Tribolium castaneum: one gene and its partner. The protein of the gene in region 2 interacts with the protein of the main gene of each other region in a pairwise test. Links are inferred from orthologs where the notes say so. Each region holds a gene or a part of one and is shown on either strand. Other genes may lie near its edges. The genes, in order: Kap-alpha3 and ci.

Region 1 (3,927 bases), on a different chromosome or scaffold from region 2:
GGAATCTGTTATAATTAATAAAAAATCTTAATAGTATTATGTACATAAATATTTTCACGTTTCATTAAAAAGTACAAAAAACAAACCGCAAATAAATTAACCACACTGTTTGTTATTGCTGCCACTACACCACATAACAAAAATCCATTTTTAATTGTTTATGTTAAGTAGCTTCCAATGTCTTCATATTTTTTTATTTATTATTTATGCAACATTCCTGACAATGTTATCTAAGGACTGACGAATCAAGCCTACGAAAATTATCAAGGCTTATTTTGCCTTTGAAATTTGTCGCCAAAGAGACTAAAAATCTACTTTCAGACGAGAAGGACATGGAAAAGTTTTAAAATAAAATTCCAACGTCTAAAAAATTTCAAACTTTCAGTTTCTGTTACTGACACTGAAACCAGGGTTTTTCTTTCAATTATTTATAGAACCCTTCTATACAAGTGAGAATAAATGTTAATTATCCCAGAATGTTTTGACAGCATCTCAAACAAATATTTTATTTGTAAAATTGTCTTTCTTGATATCTCGTAATTCTTGATTCTTGATAACGTTTTTGTGACTATGTGACCATCGGTAAGAATAATTTAAATGTAAAGAAAATATTTCTTGTTTAATTTAACTTCATATTCTATAAACAACCCCGGTTTGAGTCACAAAAACCTGAGTCACACCTCCTAATAAGTGAAAACAATTATAGCTGACCTACTTCTGAACTTTTAATTAATGAAAATTTTATGAATGATTCTGCCAACGTAAAATTTGTTTATAGAGCCAAAGTACTGTTTTGTTTATTACGTCGTAATCAATACTAACAAAACAACCGAAAATAATGATGAAGACGTATTTTTGCAAATCATTAAAATGGACAAAGAATAAATTGCGACCTTGACACCAATCTCGCACCGTTGAATCCAACATTTTTAAAACTCAGACGTCATTAAAGGTGAACTTTTTTTTTTCTTCCCTTTTTTATATTTTTTTCACACGTAACGCAAAGTATGAGACTGCTCACCTTTGTGACTCTTTTCTGGTACATACTCACATTGGTATCTGTGTGGTGAATAAGCGCATTCAAGGCGGGTAACAACTCCCTAATAGTCTGTATAGGCGGCGGGGGATCCTTGTTCCTACACAAATTAACAATAACCCAGGTGACGTTCCTCAAGAACGAAATCGGAACGTCGGGTTTAATGAACGAGAGAAGTGGATTAACAACACCGAGCTCGATAACATAGTCTCTTAACTGCGGCCCATCGCCGATGATATTCCCCAGGGCCCAAACGGCCTGTTCACAGACGTTCTGCTGGGGCGAGTGCAGCAGCTTCAGGAAGAGGGGCACGGCCCCCGCTTGCACCACCCTGTTGGTCTGCGCGGACGTGCCCGAGGCGATGTTCGTGAGCGCCCAGGCGGCCTCAAACTGCAACGAGGGCTCGTCATACCGTTCGAGACACATCACCAGGACCGGCAGGATCCCGCTGGAGATGAGGGCGTCGATCGGGGGGTTCCTGTCTGAAGACAGCAACTTCCGCGCGGTTTGGATCGCCATCAGCTGCAGCGGGGGGTTGTCGATAGCGGCCGCTTGCGCCACCAGTTCTTCCAAGTTCGTGGTGGAGAGCGACTTCTCGATGTCGTCCTCGTCGGTGGAGTCCACCACGGGGACATTGCGGCGCTTCTGGAGGGTCTCCTCGCGCTTGTTCTTGCGCAATTCCACGGTGACCTCGTTGCGCCGTCTTCGCATTTCCTGGGGGCACACGGGGCGGTCAGAAGGGGCGCACCGGACGGGTGTTTCGGGAGTAAGGGAGCCGGTGGGGCGCAAGGAAGGGCGGGGTACTTACATCTTGGTCTTTTCCCTTGTTCTTGAAATTCTGGATGCGATTCTTGTAACCTGTATCCGCCATTTTGATAGATTTGACAATGGAGGGCTGATGAAAACACGAGGAAAAGCCGGGTGGCGCTCTTAAAACGTAAAAGACTCGATTTGGCGTTATGATAACATGAAAAATGAAGGGGGAAACGTTCGGACGCGATTATCACAAAATTACCGACTGATTTAACGTAATTTGGGTATTTTTTTCATACCCATTTGCTACAAAGATCGGTTGCACAGGTTGCGCGCACGGTGGCAAACACAACGGAAGGACAGCTGATCGGGAAAATTAACACAATCTAAACCTTATTAACATTAAAACCACAACTTTTCACTGTAGGCTCAAAATCAAGCCAAATTTATTGTTTCAATGGACACTACACCTTTATTTGCAATAATTTCGGCAAAACTTTCAGTTTTTAAAGTTGGCACGCTGATGTCAAGGTCACACTTTTCACGTGCGGTGCTTACGCACTCGATTGTTTGTTGGACCGAACTTGTGATAAATAAAACTCACTGTTAATAAAATAATATTTATTAAATAATTACAAATACAAGACTAAGTTGTTACAGTACAGGGAGTACGAAATCGGGGCCCTTTATTGCAAAATTCGCCCGCTAATTTTTTTGAAAATTTCTGAACAAAAACACAATTTCAAAATAAAATCATCTGTGCCCCCACATATTTGTCTTTAAAGCTTAGAAATAAAACCGTCCGACACACAGCCATAAATTTGTAAAATTTACGTGAAGTATACCCAGTCAAAAATAAATAAAATTAAATACAAAATAAGATAATATCACAACGCCGTCCCAGAATTGGGGTTTAGAAACAATTCCATCCAGACGGGGCAAAAAGGAGACGCCGGTCCGCCCCAATTCCACCCATTGGGAATGGCCAAATGGGTCAAACCTTGCTGTACCACCCCATTAATACCCGTAACTTGCCCTTGGATTTTGTTGTTACATAAAATATTTGATATGTGTTGTGGTTTTAAACCCAACTTCGATCGCAAATAACTCGTGTTCATCGAACTCGGAAAGGCTGCTTGGAGACCCCCGATTGTCAACCAGTCGTCTGCAAACACGCCCACTGTCATTCACAGCCTCCTTGATAGATAGAGAACTTCGTTTTTTACGGCTTGTCGCTAACTTCGCATTGCATGCCTAATTTCACTACTATCAGAATTGACAATTATATTTGACGTAAGATGTCGCCCTCTTAGGTGGCACAGCCTGCTTGACCCGACCAGCCGTCTAAGAACGAAGTTCCCATCCATCAAGGCTGTGATGTAAGTAATTATGCAACTTAATTGGCAATTTCGTTAAAAAATATTTGCATGTTTAGTTATGTTATCAGCAGTTTACCTGTTATGTTAGGAATAGCTGAAAAGTCTACAAACAATAAAAGCATGTCTTCTTCGGAAATTAGATCTTTTATTTTTTCCTGCAACACGTCCAGTTTCGCCTTTTTGTTTAGTTTCATGTTAACTAGTTGTAAGTCTAAATCGCCGACTTTGAAACTTGCTATGAGAACTTCGCAGTCATCGCTTGTTTCTTGTGGACCTTGGTTCAGTGATATCAGTTCAATATCAATCACTGGAAACAAATTAGTCATAAAAATAAAATTAGAAATAGGTAGTGTTGCACCTCCATCTGAGTCATAGATAAAACCTAACTGGGACCCATCTACATCCAGCATACAAAAATTCCAGTTATGGTTTTTATCTTTCCACTCGTTGACTCGTCTCAACCTTGGCTTGTTGAGCTCATCACAAATTAATTTCATTGCTGTGACATTAACTACCTCTTGGACGGCTAATATCGATAGTCTGGAACAATTTCCTCAAAACCTGTGCTTCACACGATGTTTTTTCTACAAACCCGTTCTCCAAAATCGTCCGACACACGACTTCCCTAACTCCGGGATTGTTAGCTTTCTCAAATGTAAATTCGTGCAAATTCCATACTCCGATTCGTATCGCTGGCTCTCCTTTCCGCGTGAAATTGAAAATTTCCTGACCAGTCGGTCGGGGAGAATAAGCCGACAA
Region 2 (3,827 bases):
AAATTTTAAGTTTTTAATTTTGTACCATAAAGTACTGTTACGTCTTTTAGAAAGATTTGAATATTAATACAAGTATTTCTTTATTTAAAATACTTATTTTTGTATTAAATACGGAAAGCCAAGGTTTTTTTTGAGCTTGATAATATTAGGTTTTTTATCGAGACCTTAAGATCGAGATGAAAAATACATTCGAAAGGTTTTAAACTGCAAATTAATAATTATTAATACCTATTCTGATGTTTAGAAATCTTGACATTACCGTGCGCAAAGTAAAACAAAAAACACGTGTTTTTGATTAATTGTATTTTTTTTGGATTTAGACTTTTGAGCTTAAGAAGTTTGTAAGCAAAGTCACGTAACATCTCTTAAAAAGAATCACCAATTCTAATAATTGGCATGTGAAATAATATCGACAGATTATTTCTAACAGTTTTTGTATGTGTGGCTTCATCTTTTCATCAGAAGACAGTGTAAAAGATAAGCTGATCGAAAGAAGTGTGAGGATGTTGGTTTAATACATTCATCTATATTTTAAGATTATACGTTTCTAAGCGTGATAATTTTTACTGGAGAATGTAAAACCAGTACAACTTTAAACGACGAAAAAAGCTTAAAAAAACACAAATGATATTATTCTTTCTGCTTCTGCAAATTAAATAATATCCATAAATTTTTTCAATCAGTTTTCTTTCTGTCAATAATAACATCTCATCACTTGTATTTTATTATTTTATTATTGTTTTAGTATTATTATTATTATTATTTTTATTGAATTTTACCTTAATTGTTGTATTAGATTAATTTGTTCATTGTTTGTTGTATTTTTCCAATAAAGGTTATTATTATTATTATTAAAAATTTTCAATTTAAAGGCGGATTTAGATTTTTTTGTCCCAAAATCCAATGCATCGTATCCTAATATCTGGGTATCCGTTTAACTAATGATGAACAACTTTTTTGAAGACCATAAGGAAAAACAAGGAATGCATTTTTTTAAGAATTTAAACTAAAGAGACAAAAAGCAAAAGTAAGAAAAATGAAAAAACTGCTGTGTCCTTCCCAGAGATAGAACGAAGGAAATTATTATTTGTTTCTTTTTCTTTAGTTGATAAATACATGAAATATCAGTCGTGCAAAAAAGATATTAATTAAAGTAATAAATTAAACTGCTAAATACAATTTAAAACTTGAACTAAAATAAAAGTTTCGATATCTCTTGTTCTTCACCTGTAGTCTCCATTTGTTTAACTGTTGCTAGGTTTGCTTGCAAGACAATAAGACGTATTTACTTGTTACAAAACCACAGACTCGACGTTAAGTATTTTGGAGTACAAGAACGGTAAGTAAAATTAATCGCACAAAAACTACCATTGTTGGTTTGGGACCGAAATTCCTAGCTTACCGAACCCTTCCTTCTTATTCTAGTACTTACTTCAATCTTCCGAATTTGTGAGCAATTCGATCAGAACTTTGTAAACAAACGACTCCACGTAAAATACAAACTTACCTCGTTACTGTGTGTCCGGTTTTGGTGTTTCGCCCTATCCGAAGCATTACTGAACGCTTTGGAACAACCAGGATATTCACAAGTGTACGGTTTTTCACCCGTGTGAGATCGTAAATGCGTTTTCAAATTCTCCAACCTCGAATAGGCCTTAACACAACCTTCAAACTACAAAAATCAAATTAATAAACCAAATTATTGGACCACCAAATTAATATTTACAGTGCACTTGTGCGGTTTTTCCCCCGTGTGTCTCCTCATATGCACCACTAGCATATATTGCGCTTTGAACGGCTTTTCTGCCCTCGAACACCCGTCCCATCGGCACACAAACGATTTTTTATTTGCATGTATGTGATCGTTGTTAATGTGCTACAACCATGCATTAATAAAAATAGTTTTAAAGCCTGATTAAACATACTTTAACAAGCTCATCCTGAGTCTGAAATTCGGTACCACAATCCTTCCAATGACAGTTAGTTTCGATAAAATCGCCAGGTTCGTCTTTGAGATCAGTTTGGTCGTTTTGTCCCTCGTTAATCGTCCCACTGACTGCATTACTCGGTTCTTTTTTAATTTTAATTTTCCGCGCTTGTGCGTCCGAATCTAGATGAGTTAAGGTACCAGTCTCAGATTTTTTCTTATCGTTAAGGGCCTGAAAAATCACTGTTTTGTTTTGCTGTTCCTTGTAGTTATTTTTTTTTGGCTTACATCAGTCTTGGAAATGTTGTGGGGCGAGGAGACGTGCAGGGGGTGGTGTCCGAGCGAGTACATGGAGTGCGTGGGGGTGGCGGGCGGCAGCGGGAGGAGCGAGCCCGCGCTCCGCATGAGGTGCGCTTGGAGTTGCTGGAGGTGCAGTTCGGGGTGCATGTTGAAGGCAGGGCTGATGGCGCCGGCCGAAAGGTGTCCATAGGAGCCGCTCGCGCTCGACGACCTCGAACCATTGACCAACACCAGCGAGTTGGGGGAGTATCTGATGGAGTTGATGTCGAAGGAGTCGGAGTAAGGGGAGGAGGATAATGCCCGCTTTCGCGACTGCCTTATGCTACCCGGCCTGGGACTGTTCAGCCGTGAACCTGCCAAAGCGCACATTACACAAAGCACAGTGCGGTAAGTGATTAATTACCGTCGATGCTAAAAGGAAATTCGCTGCTGGCCAACGCCGAAGATGGATGCAGGTCGGATAAGCCCCGCGCGCTGAGGTATTCAGGAGAGAGTCCCAGTCCTGGAAATCGGAAAAAGTAATTTTATAACAAATAACACGAGTTTACAGTAGGTTGGCTCAGGTTTTTTGCTGCTGTTGAGTGTTGGACGCTGATTTCCAGACTCCCAACAGATTTTTTCTATCAGCTCTAGTTTTTGAAATGTAGGAAAGTCAAGTAGCATTTGTTTAAAGAAAGGACACAAATTTAATCATTCACTTTTTGGTGCCTCTGATTTTGTTGTATTGGGTGCTGATTTCAAAACAGACAACAGACTTTTTTTATAAGCTTTAGTTTTCGAGTGATAGGTAACTTTATTTTCTATTTTATTTTCTATTTTAGCATTTATTAAGAAAAATATACACAGCTTTTTTAGCCACTTTCTCCTCTGTTGCTTCTGATTTTTTTTGCCTTTGTAAAGTAACTGTTGCATGCTGATTTCAAATCTGCCAGCAGATTTTTTCTACCTGCTCTAGTGTATGAGATATAGTAGGCACATACTTTTCATTTGCGCTAGAAGTGCTCTAAAATAGATATTTGCGAAAATTGTTGAAAGATAAAATTTTGTAAAGCAGTGAAATTCATAAACGCTCCAAAATTCGGAGTATATGATAAAAACGCTTTTCTTTATAAAGTTTATAAAACTTTTTGCTTATCTGTCGTTTAGCGGCTCACAGAACTCAGAAAATATACAAAGAAATTTATGTAAATTAAGTCTTATAAGAAGATTTAAATGAAATAAAAAAAAAACTACTGGAATGAAAATAACGTTTGCTGTAATGTTTGTAAAATAGTTGCGGTTAACCGCAATTGAAATGTTCGGGTGGTTTTTCTTTATAATTTTCAGTGAGTGAGTTTTTGTAGGGAAGTTGCCACTTGATGCATTTTTTTTATAAAATAATAATTACATTTACTTACCAATTACAATTATAATTATCAATTTTTTAATGGATTATTATAACAAGATAGTTCCTAATTTTCCAACTACTAACAAAATATTACTCACAGCAAGAAATTACGTGGAATAAATACTTTGATAACTTTCAAAATGGTGATTCAAGGAATTTACCTGACGTGGATAATAATAATCAATTTAAATAATCACTCAAAATCTGCATTTA

The links.
Region 1: the proteins of ci (region 2) and Kap-alpha3 interact in a two-hybrid assay, tested with the Drosophila melanogaster proteins (2 studies listed by BioGRID). The link is inferred for Tribolium castaneum from reciprocal best matches to the Drosophila melanogaster genes ci and Kap-alpha3.

What each region holds. Positions count from the first base shown.
Region 1 is NC_087398.1:4,900,203-4,904,129, forward strand, and holds the start of Kap-alpha3 (importin subunit alpha-4), read right to left. Parts: upstream 2,287-3,927; 5' UTR 1,908-2,286; coding exon 1,845-1,907; intron 1,751-1,844; coding exon 1,052-1,750; intron 1-1,051. Other genes in the region: endonuclease/exonuclease/phosphatase family domain-containing protein 1, read right to left, coding at 2,677-2,954, 3,245-3,475, 3,527-3,708, 3,761-3,927.
Region 2 is NC_087394.1:31,482,342-31,486,168, reverse strand, and holds part of ci (transcriptional activator cubitus interruptus), read right to left. Parts: intron 2,730-3,827; coding exon 2,631-2,729; intron 2,581-2,630; coding exon 2,216-2,580; intron 2,160-2,215; coding exon 1,926-2,159; intron 1,877-1,925; coding exon 1,727-1,876; intron 1,673-1,726; coding exon 1,508-1,672; intron 1-1,507. UniProt on the Drosophila melanogaster protein: Has a dual function as a transcriptional activator and a repressor of the hedgehog (Hh) pathway. The full-length ci form (ciFL), acts as an activator (ciA) while ciR, its C-terminally truncated form, acts as a repressor. Involved in segment polarity.